Drosophila melanogaster: one gene and its partner. The protein of the gene in region 2 interacts with the protein of the main gene of each other region in a pairwise test. Each region holds a gene or a part of one and is shown on either strand. Other genes may lie near its edges.

Region 1 (8,999 bases), 7.8 Mb from region 2:
ACCGGCTACTAAAAATATATCTGTTAAATATCAAGAAATACGTATACTTTAGATAAGACCTACAACTATTTATAAGTTACGGAAGCCTATAATTAGCGAAACTTAGTCGTAAGCTTAATTTCACGTGCACTTTTTTCCGAAAGAGAACCATGAAGAAGGCTAACATTCGATTGTACTTAAAGTTATGGTTCAAGTTTTGTATATATGTATGTATAAACTTATATCCAGATCGATCTTAGATAATTAGCTATGCGCCTATATATCAATGTATCTTTGTATGTATGTATATCGCAATTTATACATTCATGCAAAATACTAAAGCTAAGAGCGCTTTATCACCTTAGTTCTTTTGTTAAAGTCTTTTTTAATTTACAACCCTAATTTTGAAACGATATGACATTCTGTATGTATGTATATCATAGGACTTACTGTATATAGTGTGCATAAATACATATAATTGTTTGTAATAGCAGCAAAAACATTGAATCAATTACCGTTAACTAGCGGTCCTGCCGTCTGAGGAACGACGGTCTACAAAGTGACGCCCCAATAAGTTAATTTACCACCCATGATCTTTTTAATGCACTTGAAACCTTCCATTGGATGCAAGAGTAGAAAACGTGGTAAGAGGGGTGTGTGGGCGGACAGGAAAACAATTAACGTACCGAAACTAAAATTGGCACATTTCCGTTATGGGTCGCCAGACTTAAGACTCTGTACGCGGGAAAGGGACGTCGATAGTAACGCTCGGACGGTAAACAGTAATAAAATAACGGTGCTCAGTGGGTGGTGAAGTCGGCTGATGCGACGAGAGGGGGCTTGTAAGTGTGAGTGAGTGAGGGTGGCTGGGGTCTTAGCAATAATTAAGTAAAAAATTGTAGTTGGGGGAACTCTCTCCTCTTCGGTGTCGAGTTAAGCTTGTTTATTATGTTTGATTAGTCAGGATTTCGTATTTTGGGTAGGTCGCAGGATGTTAAGCTCTTCCACAAACTCCAAAACATCGATTTGTTCGAAGCAGTGCAAGATTCTGAACTGAGTTTCAAAACCTTCTCTGTCAATCAAGCCCGCGTGTCAGTGTGTTTGTTTAAACACAACATTTCGGAAAAAGTTCTAATGCAAGTTCTAATAAAACTTTTCACTTCCTCGGGAATCCTTTCTATTGTACAATTATTCTTTTTTATTTTTTATTCAATTTGCAATCGATGTACCTGTGTTTAACTGAAGTGGTTAAATGTTACCGGTAGATAATTGAGACAGTAGAGTACTGTTACCAAGAAAAAACAAGTTTATTTTTGGTGAATTTCGCATATAAATACATTTATGTATATACATACAGATATGTTTTATACTTAAGTGAAAAGCCTAGAAGGAATAGCTGAAAATCTGCAATTAAGCGAAGATATCGAAATTAATTCTGAGCGGGGTCTATATAGCAATATTCTTAAGCGAAGTGCTTTTTAATCGTACAGATTGGAGAACATTAAAAATTCTGTTACGATTGTGCTAAATATACGCAAAGTAGGACGAAATATATTCGTAAATAAAACTCGCAATATAGATGTGTAGCTCCATAGGTGTGCAATGTAAATGAACAGGAAGAGACTCATATAATATATTTAATGTTATATAGAAATACCCCAAAGGATCAAATATTAATTCAAAAATTAGAAACGTTTTCCCAGTGCTGTAAATTATATGAGAAGCCTATTTTGAAGAGCATTTGCTTAGTACAAGTGAAGAAAAGTATATGAATATTTAAATAAGTAATGATAAAAATAACAAATTCATAATTATATGGAATCTGTAATATGTATACATAATATAATAATATAATATGTATACATTCTCACGTTTAAAGCAAAGATTATTTAATAAAGTAAAGAATAAACCGGAACTCCAACACTTTTGAAAAATTCTGTGATAATTCTTCATATTTTTATTAGTCTTGTAAATTACTATGGATTTGCCAAAAAACTTTTTGCCTCGCCTACTTCAACGTCCAAAGACCGCCCAAAACTGCCACACCTACACTTTTAAAATATTTTTAGAATTTTCCGTTTTATTATTTGTCTTGCCAAGTTTTATCGGTATACAAAACAATGTGGCCACGACCCTTCTTTCACCTACAAAACGAACAAAACTGTCACGCCAATAATTTTTAAATTTTTTCTCATTTTATTCACCAAAATCAATCGATATCCTGGAAAAATTATAAAATTTGGCGATCGAATTTCCACTAGCCGAGTAAAGGGTATCTGATGAGCGGGAAATCGAGTATAACATTTTCTCTTGTTTACATATATCCTTTTACACTTTTACCACTTTTCATCCCCAAGCATCAAATTTTTCAAAGTCCTGGTATGAATACAGAAAAAATCCTATGATATACTCTTTTAATGGGCAAAATGTATTTATAATATCATTAGGTTTTTAATTTAAAACCATTCAACAATGGTTCACTTCTATTTTACCCATTACTCGTAGAGTAAATGGGTATACAATATTGGTTGAAAAGTATGTAACAGGCAGAAGGAAGCGTTTCCGACTATATAATTTATATATATTCTTGATCAAGATCAAAAGCCGAGTTGATCTAGCCATGTCCGTGTTGCCACGCCCACAAGAATCACAAAATTTCCAAGCCCACGTGTAACGTGTAACGTGTAATATAACATAAACCGATTCCACCTTATTCTTGCCAAGAAGGTTGGTTTAAGGGCTAAATCAAAAGCAAAAGGAGAGCTAAAACACGGTGGAAATTTTTTAAAGCGTTGTTGAGTAGAGAACGTGCTAAGTTATATATATTTCATAAACCACCGCGAAAGCGAAGAGGATTTATCTAATGGGAGGAAGGTATATATATCATGTAAATGTTCCTGATTCTCTTTTCTTGATCGGAATCTCCAGACGACTCTATATGCCTATGTCCGACTGCATTCGTTTTCTTGGCATTTCATTTGATGTCATCAGGGACTTATGTATATGCAAAAATTGAATACAATCCTGTTTTAATTTTCACTACAAACATAGTTTTATGACAGTAATCGAATCTCCTTTTAGCTAAACTTAACATTGCTTCTTTTATAATCAATCTGGGTTATACAATTTTTATCTACGATTCGAATCCAGTCTACTTTAGTAAAAAATTATGGCAACTCCCGACTTCTGTATACTGCAGTATGGCAGCTCCCGAACTGTGTAGATGTTGGTATGGCAACTCAAAATCACCTGCAATTGCTACTGAACATTCATATTAAACATAATTACGAAAAGACCAACATTAAAATAGCGTTTGTATTCGGCAATACAAGATTTATTGCTGAGAGGGGAAAAAGCGGTTCTAGCATCAACACGTAATAAAAAGAAAATTAACCAAAATTGATTTTCTTGAAATAATGTTTCCAGCACCGGGATAAGATAACAAATAGTGGAGTCATTCAGCAATCGTTGATTGGCGTGAGGTATCGATGACCATGCGCTATCGATACCTCCGTTGGAATTATCACATCGTAGCTCTACTGTTTGTCAAGTCTCACTTGAAAACATCCATCGAAAGTGCTGTTGTTCTGATTAGAGCGCGGGTGCGAGTTAATCAAGCGAACCGTTGCGTCCTGGTCCTAAATTTGAAAGGTATAAATATTTGGGTGAAACCAATCAGCTGCAATAGATGATGCGGTCCCTTGCGCCATACAAATTGGTATTAGTATTGCCCTAGAGGAGTAATTGTGTGTATGTATGTTGGTGGGAGAGTGGAAAGTGGTTTAAGTGAGGGATGCGACCGAACAATATGCACTTCTCCCTGTGCTACCTGAGATCTAGAGTGTGGAGAGTGATTCTGTTGACTAGTTTGCGTGCTTGCGGCAAGCAGGAGCTGCGGTCCGGTGTGATACATGCCTCGCGAAGTTGCTCCAAGTCGTAGTGGATGGTGCTCCAGGTGCTGGGATGCGCCTAATTGGAGATACACAAACGGTCAGTCAAAAGCTCGTGAAGTGTGGGTAATGCCTATATATATCCGCCACCCGCCTACAAGCGGGTTCCGGAAGTAGGCGACGGCACGCAACCATCAACCAGAAGCATCATTATGCACACATGCAGCTGGACATGGGGAAATCCTCTCAATAAAGCCGCTAGGCGGACATTGATTCATATGTTAATACACGTGTATGAATATGACAATTGGTGAGAGCGGGAACCACCAGTTACGCACAGTGGCCAGATCGCACTAGCGCACTATTCGTCAAGGAGTCAGGATTTGGTTGTCGTCTCAAATAAATAGCTAACTTTGTTAGAGATAAATGGTTAGGTTTAATCAAACTAATCGTTTAATTTCAAGGTAACATAAACTCATATTTTGCTTAAACTAAAAACGGTTTAATATAAATAAGTCTGACAGGACCGTAAAACTGCTCTCCAAATTCGGTCGTCTGGTACCTGGGCGCAAATCAATTAAGGAACTATTAACTCAGCAATGGGAACACTACCAAACACTGTACAATGTAGTAGCAATATTAAATATAATAATATAATAATAAACATGGATGCTTGCTTCTGCAAGCTAAAGTATTTAAAAAGTATTAGAAATGGTCGGTAATCGTAGAGTAAGAATTCACTTAAAAGGATGTTACAGGTAGAAGAACGCTTTTTCCACCTTATAAAGTATTTCTGTATGTATTAACACTTAACACATACGTATATCCAAACTGGTTTATTACGCAGTACTAAGAAATATACGGCTGACGTGTGTATTTTACCCTACATTGTCATCCGTGTGGCAGGTGTAGCCACTTTTTACGCAGCTGACACTATTTCTAAGCTATCGATTTTGTCTTCTATTCCTTTCCCATTGCTTTGAATGCCGATACTTGGCCTATTGCTGGTGGTGGGGTGGCACTAATAATTTAAAAACCGACCTATTTCAGTGCAGAGTTCAAACTCATTCAAACTACACAACTATTACAGCAAGCGCAATATACATACATATGTATGTATGTACATATGTATTCCTGTCCTTCCTAGTTTTCGTTCTCCATGTCCGTCCGTATGAAGGTGGAGATCTGAGGAACTATAAAACCTACAATATTGAGATTAAGCATATAGATTTCAGAGGCATAGTTTGTTTACTCATGTTGCTACGCCCACAAACCCTGCCAAAGCTGCCACGCCCACACCATTGGAAAATGTGTTGATATTTATATATCCGTTACTCGTAGAGTCAAAGGTTATGATCAGGATCAATAGCCGAGTCTATATGTCCCTGTCTGTCTGCTCGAATGTCTATGCGTCCATATGAACGCCGAGATCTCAAAAACTATAAAAGCTAGAAGGTTGAGATTAAGCATAAAGATTCTAGAGACATAGGCGCAGTGCAAGTTTATTTCAAATCACCCAAAACCGGTACGCCCACTGTTTGTTTTGATATATTTTCCTATTTTTATACCCGTTACTCAGATTAAAAGGTGATACTAGATTCGTTGAAAAGTGTTTCCGACCAAATCAAGTATATATATCCTTGATCAGGATCCATAGCCGAGTCAATCTGGACATGAAAGTCGAGACCTCAGGAACTATAAAAGCTAAAAGGCATACAGATTCTAGAAACATAGACGGAGCGCAAGTTTGACCCATGTTGCCACACTCACTCTAACGCCACGCCTACACTTTTGAAAAATGTGTTGATATTTGTTCACATATGTATTAGTCTTGTAAATTTTATCGATTTTGCCAAAAACGTTTTTGCCACGCCCACTCAAACCGCACAACCGGTCACGCCCACACTTTTGAACAATTTTTAAATTTTTTTTCATTTTATTTCCCAATATCTCTTGATATCCCAAAATAAATGATACTTTCGCGTTCTCATTCACACTAGCTGAGTAACGGGTATCTGATAGTCGGGGAACTCGACTATTCTCGCATTCTCTCTTGTTAGTTTTGTAAATTTCTGTCGATTTGATAAAAAACTTTTTGCAATGCCCACTCTAACGCACAAAACCCGCCGAATCCTGTCGCGAACCCACTTTTGGAAAATATTTCGATCTTTTTTCATATTTTTAATAGTCTTTTCTTTCCAAATTCTATCGATATGCCAACAAGGATGTTAAATGCTTAAGCTGAGTAACGGGTATCTGATATTCGAGGAACTCGTTCATTCTTGCTTTTTAAATTCATTTAACAGTTTTTTAATGCAAAATTTGTTTAAATTAATGTATTTTGTATATACTCGTAATAGTTGACATTGTAAAGGTTCGGTAAAGTTGTACATTGAAATAACTCCGGAAAAAAGTTTTTAAAACTTCTTCAATACAGGAAATCCATATCGTTAGCCGGGAATAGCTTACACATACAGAATAACATACAGGAATAATGAAAAGACCGGTGTGTTTGAATCTTGTTCTATGATTATCACTTTAACAGAGTACGGATAAAAATGAATACTAAACGTATACGAGCTTAAATAGCGTTAGGCAGTTGGTTTATTTTTCTTCGCGTCTTATAGCATGTAGTATGTGCATATATCGAGGGTACACTGTACCTATAAGTACACAGCAACACTTAGTTGCATTGCATAAATAAATGTCTCAAGTGAGCGTGATATAAGATCACCCATTTATGCTTTAAGCTAAGTCAGCATCCCCACGCTGGCCGCTGGCCATATATGCGCATAAGCTCTCTCTCTCTCTCTCTTATACATATATATATACGCTGCTCTTCTGCCGCTGTCGACGGCGGCGCAGTCGCAGTATTTAGGTAAGATTAGACACTCTGTAGAGGTTAAGCGGGCAGAACCGTTTCTGCTACTCGAAGAGATAAGAAGAAATAAAAAGGTGGCCTGACGGCTGCACCCAACTGCAAGGAAAACACGTGTTCTCAATTGGTGGCATATATTGGTTTATTACATGGCGACCGTGAGGCAGGAGCCTGCGATCTGAGGACTACTGAGGAAATGCTGCTAATATTGCCGATTTGATTTGGGAATTCTAAACAGCGACAACAGGTGTGAGAGGCAGGCCGCCCCTTACACCAGTGCGGGAGACCTAGAGACGGGACACTGATGAAAAAAAAAAAGAAACAAAAATACTGAGTGAGTAGAGTGTGGTAATGGGCAAACGCGGATGTCAGGAAATCAAAAATAAAGGTATAGCACATATTAAGTGGCTATGATATACAAATAAAACACCGCCCCCATGGGCAACGGCACAGAAATTAACTGCCGAATTAGACTTTCTGAAAGAAAACCTCCAGCAAAGAAAGCCGAATACCACAACTCACTCAGCAAAAATAGAAATAATCAATGAAGAAATAACTGAAAATTCAACATCACCCAAGCCGAAAAGACCCGACGTCTGCATGAACGACTGCCCTCGACCATTGTAAGCCGCAACAGCAATTAGCACGGCATCCTGCGAGGGTAGGATTAGGATAAAGGATAAAGGATTCCACCGGCGCGCCGCACATGACAACAGCGAATGTCTACCAAGCAGACGTTCGAACACCCTGCTCCTGTCGAGCAAAGGGATCTGCCAAGTATCAAAGAGGTAATAGAGGTAGATCCGTCCGCGGGACCAAAGCCCTTGACCATACAAGAGTACAAGGCACGGACTGCAGCGAGGGAGCAGCCACCTAAAAAGAAGAGGGGTGGCCGCCGGATTAAGTTGCTCAGCGCCCGGAGGCTCAACATCGAACTACTGAAGACGGCAACTAATGAGGAAGACCGGCAGCGCTACAAAGAGCGCCTTGCAGCCATCAATCAACAACTTCGTGGTGCGAAGTAAAGCGGCGGGCTGCGTTATACGCCATAGCCTCAACCGCCCAAATATTATATTAATGTTGTCGATGCGGTTTCCGCTGCAACAAAATTACTAACTTATCAGGGACCCATTTCATAACTAACACATTATACTCAGTCCTAAACTTAAAATAAGTAATAATATTGTAAAATTGCAAATTGCAACCGATGTAAACTGAGTATAATGAATTCATCTATCAAGTAAAAATATGTTTAACAACAGTTTAGACCTATTAAAATTTCGAGCTATATTTATATCTGATCGAGATAACAATAATTGACCAATTCTCAAAGTTAAAATTCTATTTGTACTTTTGATATACAAATAAAGACTAATTTTCCCCATATCAAAATGGGACATAAGTCGTGGATACAACCCCACAGTTAAATTCAATGTACTTACTATTTTTGATTTTAGTTATCCTATCAGCCTTTTAACCTGGCCTTAAAACTTTATCAGTTTCACAAAAGATCGTTGAAAAGACTTACATGAGTCGAGCCAATGATTTAGACAAAATCTAATAGAAACTACACCAAAAAGGTACAAGTGCGATTACATCGCTAAAAGGTACATACATGGAATGGCTAAACTTAACCATATCCATAAACAATATTAGAGATGCTTTTGATAAATCCTATAAATGTATTAATAAAACCGCGCTGATCAAAACTCAGACGCTTATTTTTCACATAAAGGTATTGATAACACAATACAACACATTACAAAACCTAATAGTAACAAACAAAAGCAAACTCACTGAAGAACATAAAGTCCAATGCTTCAAAGTTCTCAGTTCATTTGGTAAAAGACTACATAATACCAGCGTTAGACACAGTATTATAATAGAAGTCCCAACAGAACTAACCAAAATAGCAGAATTCGACGAAAGCCAGTTAAGAGACTTGGACGAGTCGCAGCCGTTAGAAGATTTAGATATCGAAAGCGATATCGAATCAATAGAAGAATTAAAATTTAATACCGTACAACCAAATACAAGAAACATGGCCAACGCATTAGAAGCTCAGAGAGCATACGTTAAACAGGTATCTGCCACAGTACCTGAATTCGATGGTAAGAAACTCCATTTAAACAGGTTTGTGACAGCACTTAAGTTGACGGATCTAACTAAAGGAGATCAAGAAACTTTAGCAGTAGAGGTCATAAAGACCAAAATTATTGGCCCATTAAACTATAAAGTAGAACATGCGACAA
Region 2 (7,502 bases):
CGTTTTGGCCGGGCCGGGCCTGGCTGGCATTGCCTATATTAACAATAATTCCTTTGTACCCGGGCATCTTGCCAAAAAGTTGGCGACCGCCCTGCTCCTGGCACAGCAGGCGACGAACGTTTTGTGGCCAATTTCCCGTACCCAGAGGCCGACTTTTTGTGTGACCCATTGTCAAGTCAAGTCAAGCCGGACAAGGTCTATCCTCGCTCCATCCACTCATGCACCATTCTGCCACCCGCTATACAGAGCGACTTTTGTCTAGAGTTAAACTCAAAAAAAAATATATAAAAAAAATCAAGAAAAAGTTGGCGAAGAAAGGCAGTACCATTGCGGCAGCGGCGTAAGCGAACTGCAAACTTTGGAGTCCATGACAACCAGTAAAACTGCTGAAAGACCATTGATTGAACCTGGTCATGCGGTTTGCTTGCATTTCCAAAGTTTCGCAACCCGACTTTGTTTGAGGCAGCTTAAAAATAAACAGAACATGTATTTTAAATCTAAGGATATCGTTCATGCGGACGGACATGGCTAGATCAACTCGGCTAGGGATCCTGATCAAGAATATACCCAAAGGTGTTACTCGTATACAAAAAAGTCTTTGTTAAAATTAAACTATAATACAAGTTTTTACAAATTCAATAAGAATTCGATCACTATTTTTAACAGAACATTATATCACACATTTAAGATGTAAGCTAAAGAACCCGCACCAAAATAAAACTCAAGTTCCAATTAGATTAGAGAAGCTTTTGTTGGCTGCTATTATAGATGTAGTAGTACCCTCCGTTGAATCGCAGTGTGGCAAGTTCATAGCGCATGGTGCCGCTCACCGGATTGGCCACCACTCGCACCGGCGACGAGGAGAAGGTAAGAGTGCGGTAGAAGAAGGCAGTCAGGAAGCTGGCACTGATCACAAAGGCCACAAAAAAACCCAGACAGAAGACACAATCCTTGTTCACTTGCAGACAAAGACAAAAGGCTGCCACAAAATCACAGATGGAGCGTCCAATTCGCGCGCAGATCGTTTGACGAAGCTGGCGAGGATTGCCCGGCAGATTGTTGCCACTAATCGTGAATGTGTGCAGCGTGCGTTCGCAGGGCGGTGGATTCGGATCTGGTCTCAGGTCGGTCAGATCCAAACGCAATCGCTGCGACTGCGATGGCAACTCAGCGGTCTGGGTTCCCAGTTCGCGATATTTTGGAATTTGGACAATCACTGCCGGCTGGAGTTGCTCCCGGCCCTCCATTGCATCAGGAATCTCGCGTGAGAAGCGACAGATTACTTCCAATACATTGTGCAACTGCTTAGGAGATCCTGGCATTTTTGAAATACCTGTCTTGGTCTGGTGACCCTGATCATCTTCTGATTTCTGACCCTTAACTGCGGACTGAGCACTCGTGCTCGGCTCATCATCCAGCTCTGAAATCACCCGATTGTTCTCCAACCGATCCGCATTCGAAAGATGCTCCTGTGGGTCGAGTTGTGCAGAAGCCTCCGTCTCTGTGGCGCCTAAATTCGCATCTTTTAGATACACAACATGACCATGTTCAACGGCGGGTGGCATATATATTATAACTTGACGTTGAGAATCCGGGGATGACGACCTCTTGTCCTCATCGTTCTTATCCATATGATTATCCATTGCGTTGTGTTGAAAACTGGGAATTTTTTTGACCAGCTAATACAAAATTTGAGTGATAAATTCAGTTCCGGTGTGATAGTTGTCAACATCGTTTTGTATATGCCGAAATTATGTTGACTTCAGTAGCTTGTAAGACATTTTTCGATACTTTTCCAAATTTGATCTGTGGACGCTGTAAACTTAATGGCGTGCAGGGAGCCACCGCAGACTGCGATCGTCATTAACTTGCTAATTGGCGATTTGGTTCAGGATGCCGTTAACGAGCCCCGCAAACTGTCCGAGCAGAAGAACACCTGCCAGCGGCTCTTCGATATTTTGGGCTTTCAAGCCGACGAATGTTTTGAGGATTTGGAAGATAGTGATCCGGCTGCAACACACAGCTCGATCACCGTACGCACCAATTCAAAATCGAATCTAGGCGGAGCAAACAAACGGAATTGGTACGGATGGATGTCCAAGGCATTGGCGGAAGGTAAAAAATATCAAAATAATGCATAAACCAATCTATAAAAAAAAGATAGGAACTGTCTCTTGGAGTTGTCCTTGAAAACTCTGAAAAATAACACTACTGTCATAAATCCATAAACAGTTTCATTTTGGTGAAACCAGATGTCACCCGCATTTATTTAGTATAGTTACTATAACTGTATCAACCCGCAGAAAATTCGGAAGACGATGTTGAGATCTTCAGGAAGAAGGATAGCGATGTGCTCAAGGACATCCACTCGATCGGCGTGCAGACGGAACAGCCGCGCCGGCGCATTAGAGTTTGTCCTGTGGACTTTGCCCCGGCTTTGGCACCCTGCGAATCGACACGTCACACGATATTCATCGATGCCGTTTCCATGCAGATTCCAAATGCACTAGGTCGACCACCGCTGGCCGATCGTTTTTGCTATATGCTAACCGATTTCGCTTCGGCACTATATTGTAGTCTCGCCATCATGTGTTGTTGCACACCCAATATGTTGAGATAAATTAGAATGCGCAATGCTGGTTGGAACTCTGTTCTGCTAATTCTGTTTACTGCATTTTTACTCATACAATCACGTGCAAAACGAATCATTCTTATTACAATTATTTGGACGGCATGCCGACATTGGTCTGCAAGTTGCCATAAAAGTGGCTTAGTAAGAGGTAAAGGCACCACAGGCACAGGACAATGAAGAGTGCCACTGTTAAATTCTCGCCGATTATAGAGGCGAATGCGACAATCGTATCCGCCGTCTGCACAAGGACCTGCCACATCCTTTGGTGCAGTGGGGGTCTTTGCATAGCCGTGGCCGATGTCACCGACTCCACCTCGATGTGGATCGTGTGCTGCTGGATCTTGCTGGGCTTGTCCGTTTCGAGATCGATACCACCGCCGCGTACAGCCGCCAGCTTCGCCTCCAAATCCTTGCTATTCATATTACTCTCGTCCGCTGCTGTCCACGAAGTCTGACTACTCACCTCGCAGGTGGGCTTGATTGTGACATCCGATAGCCGCGAAAGACTCGATGATCTATGCTCCACGATTTGATCTTCTGTTAAGATATCAAAGGCTGTTAGCCCTTCAATAAGAACGGAATTATACATTTATCTTACCTTGCTTAATAGCTAACTCTTCGGATCGGAATCGCTTCATGCGGCTTGTTTGTCCATATTCACTCTTTGGGAGCTTGATGTATTCCTCAAACAAATTGCACTTGCTGATCTGCCTGTGGGTTAGTTGGTCCCTTGGAATCTGAACATCTTTGTGCTCAGCATTCCAGCCAATAGATGGCGCTCTGATGCTATCATCCACTCTTTTTTCTGCTTGTGCAGTTATAGAGATATCGTCTCCAGAAGTGTCACTTTTTGAACTAAGCATGTAGAGTTCTTCTAGTCGCTCCTTGCCTTTGTGATTCAATATGTTTTTCGTGTGAAAATCATGAGTGTGAGTTAAATTTATTTTCTACCATTTCTGTCATTTAAAATCAGTCTGGCTAAAAATTCGTAGCAAAGGGTTGCTTTATCATCTGCCTCAAACGACCATGGCAGACCGGCAATTGAGCCTCGTTGGCCAGTGGATAATTTTTGCGCTAAATTAAGCAATTTCCTTTCCTGTCTGGCCGGGCAAAACCAGAAGCTGCTGTCCATCGACACTTCAGGGTCGACTGTCGTCTATGGATTTTCCTGTCTAATATGACAATTATGACGGTCTACTGCACTAATGTTATTTTGCATAAGTGCATTTTAGGAACCAAAGCAAAATATAGGGTAGCTCCTTAACTGAGATTTCACTTGCCTGGTGAATTTACTTTCAAAAGACTTTCAAAAAAAGAACCGTCTAAATATGTAATTATTTTAATAATTATTGGAAGTTGCAAGGTCAAAAACATTTACCCCGAAATTTAAGATCAAACAACTACTTTAATATACCAACACAATAAATAAAATAAGATAAAAACTTTTGCTTCAGGCCACACATAAACTGCCATTTTATTATCTGATATATTTTTTTGTGCACATTCGCTTTAGATCAAAATTCATCCCCCAGATTTAAACCACAATTTCCGTTCAATGGCAAAAAGCTGTCTCCGTATATTTCATAATTTGTTCGAGGGAAACTTTTCGATGAAACTCTATTAAAGCAGAGGGGACATAATAAATTCATGGAATATCTCGACTTGTCCGGGTGCTACGTACATACATGTGGCATGTGGCAAGCAAGTACGCACATTTGCAGTGTGGAAATCAAAATCCAAGGGGCTTGGATGTGGAACTTTTCTCGTTGCTGTCCTATAGTAGAGTAAGTCCTTTGGTGTCCAGTGCGCACCTGCTACTCAGTGGTCGTGTTTTTTATTCGTTGGCTTGTTGAGGGAACAGAGGTGGAAGGAATGGTTCTTTTGGTCCGGCCATTGTTATCATTTAAAAGGCTTAAGTGCGCCGAAGATTTATATTTATATATATTTGAAAGAAGGGGAATGAAACGACAGCAGACGCTGCGACGAGAAAATAAGATAAACGTACACGTTATTGATTTTCCACTCGCATGTGCCGGCCAGTGTGTTTGCCTTTGGATGATGCTGTTGCCATGGACTGCATCTCCCTGCTTTGCCGCTGCTTCCGCTTTTCCCCCTTTGTGGCGCAGTTTTGTCGCCTGTCCAAAAAATTGAATTCAGGGCGCGGGAAGATGGGGGGCATGGTGTTTACGTGGGCTGTGTGGACTGTGGGTGCTACGGAGTGGGCTTAACTGGGCAGCCAACGCCTGCGCTTGATTCATCTGCCAGTTGATTGGTGTTTGTGCGAAAGTGTTGAAGCAGAACAACTGGGATTGAGTGGCCACCATCCTTTATCCGCCAGCTCGCAGCTCCCAATTCGCCCCTTCGGCGGCATGATGTTAAGCTTTATTTGTGTTGCCTACTTTGAGGCGGCACCGAGGGGCACGCAAATCGATCGTGCTGTCCGTCTCATATAATGGATTTAAACAAAGCCAATTTCGTGAATGCATTTCGTGGGCAAATCCATTCGATTATAAATTAACATTTTTACAAAAAGCGTTTTAAAGCTGGCCACAACAACAGATGTAAAATCATTTAATCATTATTACGTTAGGTAAAGAATAAAAGACCATAGACATATATTAATGTTCATAAATATTTAATGAAAATCATTTCATAATGCTAGGCAAGGATATTAATGTTAAGGATATTTCTTTTACCAAAAGATTCCGTTACGCTTAGGTAAATCCCATAATCTAAAACATGTGTCTCACTAGATTAATTGCTGTTTTCATTTGAAATTATTGTTAATTAAATTCGCACCCTTTGTTGTCACCAGCGCGTTTTTGGCAACCTTCCTGATTACACTGCCTGAAAATGTGTCGGCCTTTTTCTTGGATTTATGAGGTGTGGCTGATTATTTTCGGTGCCGCACGATAACTATATATATATATGAATATATGTACATATATATCGCTCTATATAACCAAATGGTGCAACTGGGCATATATAGTAGGCGTCTAACCGTTGCCAAAAGTTCCAGTCTGCGCTTCGTGCTTGGCCAGCTCGTAAATAATATTTGTTTAGAGATATTTTTGCCTTAATGCTTGTTTGTTTCCTATTACCCTGGGCCAGCTCGTTTATCATCTTGGCCAAAGCCGGCAGTTTCGGATGCAGCAGGAGGAGCAGAAGGAATTGCCACTTGCGCAGCATGCATTCAATTAGCGCCTGGCAAGATGCGGATTTTCGTCGTGTCATATTATTATCATAAAGCTCATAATTTCTTGGCTTGTTATTCAGATGTTGGTCAAGATGTACAGATAGAGCTGGCTTGAAGTTTTGCCTTGTTAAGATAAATCATTAGGTCTTAATAGTTTAAATAGTTCAAAGTTGTATGTTATAGTAAATAAGCTCATAAGCATATAAAACAATTTCAAACACAAATTGATCGTGTTAACTAATACCTTATATTCTTTCCACTAAACACCATGATGTTTTAAAGACTCAGTTTAGTTATAGAATTGCTTTACACCTGCCAAAGGCTTGAAGAGGCTGTCAAAACGTTTGCCACTCTTGTCTACGGCAGGAGGTAAGTAAAATTCCGTGTGAATCCCCAACCAAGGATCCCCGCCGCTTCCCCATCCTTGTGGCAATCAGTAGCTGGCTATTTTCTCACCTGGCCACTTGGCGCTTAGACATGGCCCGCTGCTGGTTAGTTGGCATTTAATGGCATTTGACACTCTTCGCCGTGTCTGTTAGCAAAAACATCACGAGCAAATAGAAAATGGAGAAAGAAAAAACTGATAGGGATAGGGATGTCATATTGTCAAGTAACCAGACCGTGAAATACCTGGTACACAGGTAAAGAATTACTTTTAGTGTTTTAGCATGGAGAGAGCATTCTACAAAAAGCATTAAATGGTGCTGGCCAGGTCAACTTATTTACAATAAGTTAAATTGGCTAAGTAAGCTTAATTCATACCAAAATATAATACGTTTTTAGCTTGCTAATGTTCTTAAAAAAACATAAATGATTAGGCATTTATATTTATTTGATCGAAATGCAATATGCCCGTGAGAACACCGTGCAAAAGACAGGATAAGGGAGAGTAAAATGGAATGGAAATATTGATAGGAAAATCAATAGACGGCGATAAAGGAGATAGAAGGACAGGCAGCAGGCTGCTTGGAGCCGGTCGAGCACTTGCCTAATGAAGTTGTTCCTTAAATCGGCAAAGGCATCGACGAAGGACCACGAAGGACCAGCGAGGAGTAAAAATAAAAAGGAAACGCTTTCTGGGTTCCCCGGACAACGGCAATAACAACATCAATGCACTTAATGCTCTTGTTTGCTTAACTTTATTTGATGTCCTGGCCTTGGTTACTTTTCCCATACCCTGCGCATAACCATATGTACATATAAGCCAAAAGCCACGCAATTTGCCATGGCTTTTGTCTATGCCATATGTACAAATGCAGGAAATGTAATTTGTAGATAGCAGAAAAATTCCGATTAGAAGGCGGCCACTGATTTGCGATTGCTGATTTTATGATTTTATCTACGAAATGCGAGTCTCTCGAATTATTATGATATGTATTATCCCATGTACAGTACAATGTTTTAAATTATTTCTCGTGCTCAATTTGCCTGAATTACATTTTTTTTTTTGTGCAGAGCTCGCAAAGTGTATTCAATTATTCAGGTCTTACGTACTCTAACTTTAGCTGCTGTCCTTCTGGCTGGGCTTGTTATTGTTTTCGAGCGATGACTATGTTGTTTACAAATGAACGCAGCTTACGCAGCACGAATGGCAGCACAAGGACCTTTTTCTGCCAGCCACATGCTGACCACTGGCTCCCAGACAAGAAAAGAGGAAGAAGAAAAAAGAGTGAT

What was found. Proteins that work in one complex are often made in the same cells at the same time.
Region 1: the proteins of CG16852 (region 2) and Tsp39D interact in a two-hybrid assay, tested with the Drosophila melanogaster proteins (one large-scale study listed by BioGRID).

The regions. Positions count from the first base shown.
Region 1 is NT_033779.5:21,341,107-21,350,105, forward strand, and holds the start of Tsp39D (tetraspanin 39D), read left to right. Parts: upstream 1-3,500; 5' UTR 3,501-3,630; intron 3,631-8,999.
Region 2 is NT_033779.5:13,536,793-13,544,294, reverse strand, and holds CG16852 (uncharacterized protein), read right to left. Parts: upstream 3,545-7,502; 5' UTR 3,496-3,544; coding exon 3,231-3,495; intron 3,170-3,230; coding exon 2,721-3,169; 3' UTR 2,649-2,720; downstream 1-2,648. Other genes in the region: CG16853 (uncharacterized protein), read right to left, coding at 738-1,643; CG9263 (uncharacterized protein), read left to right, coding at 1,827-2,115, 2,304-2,620.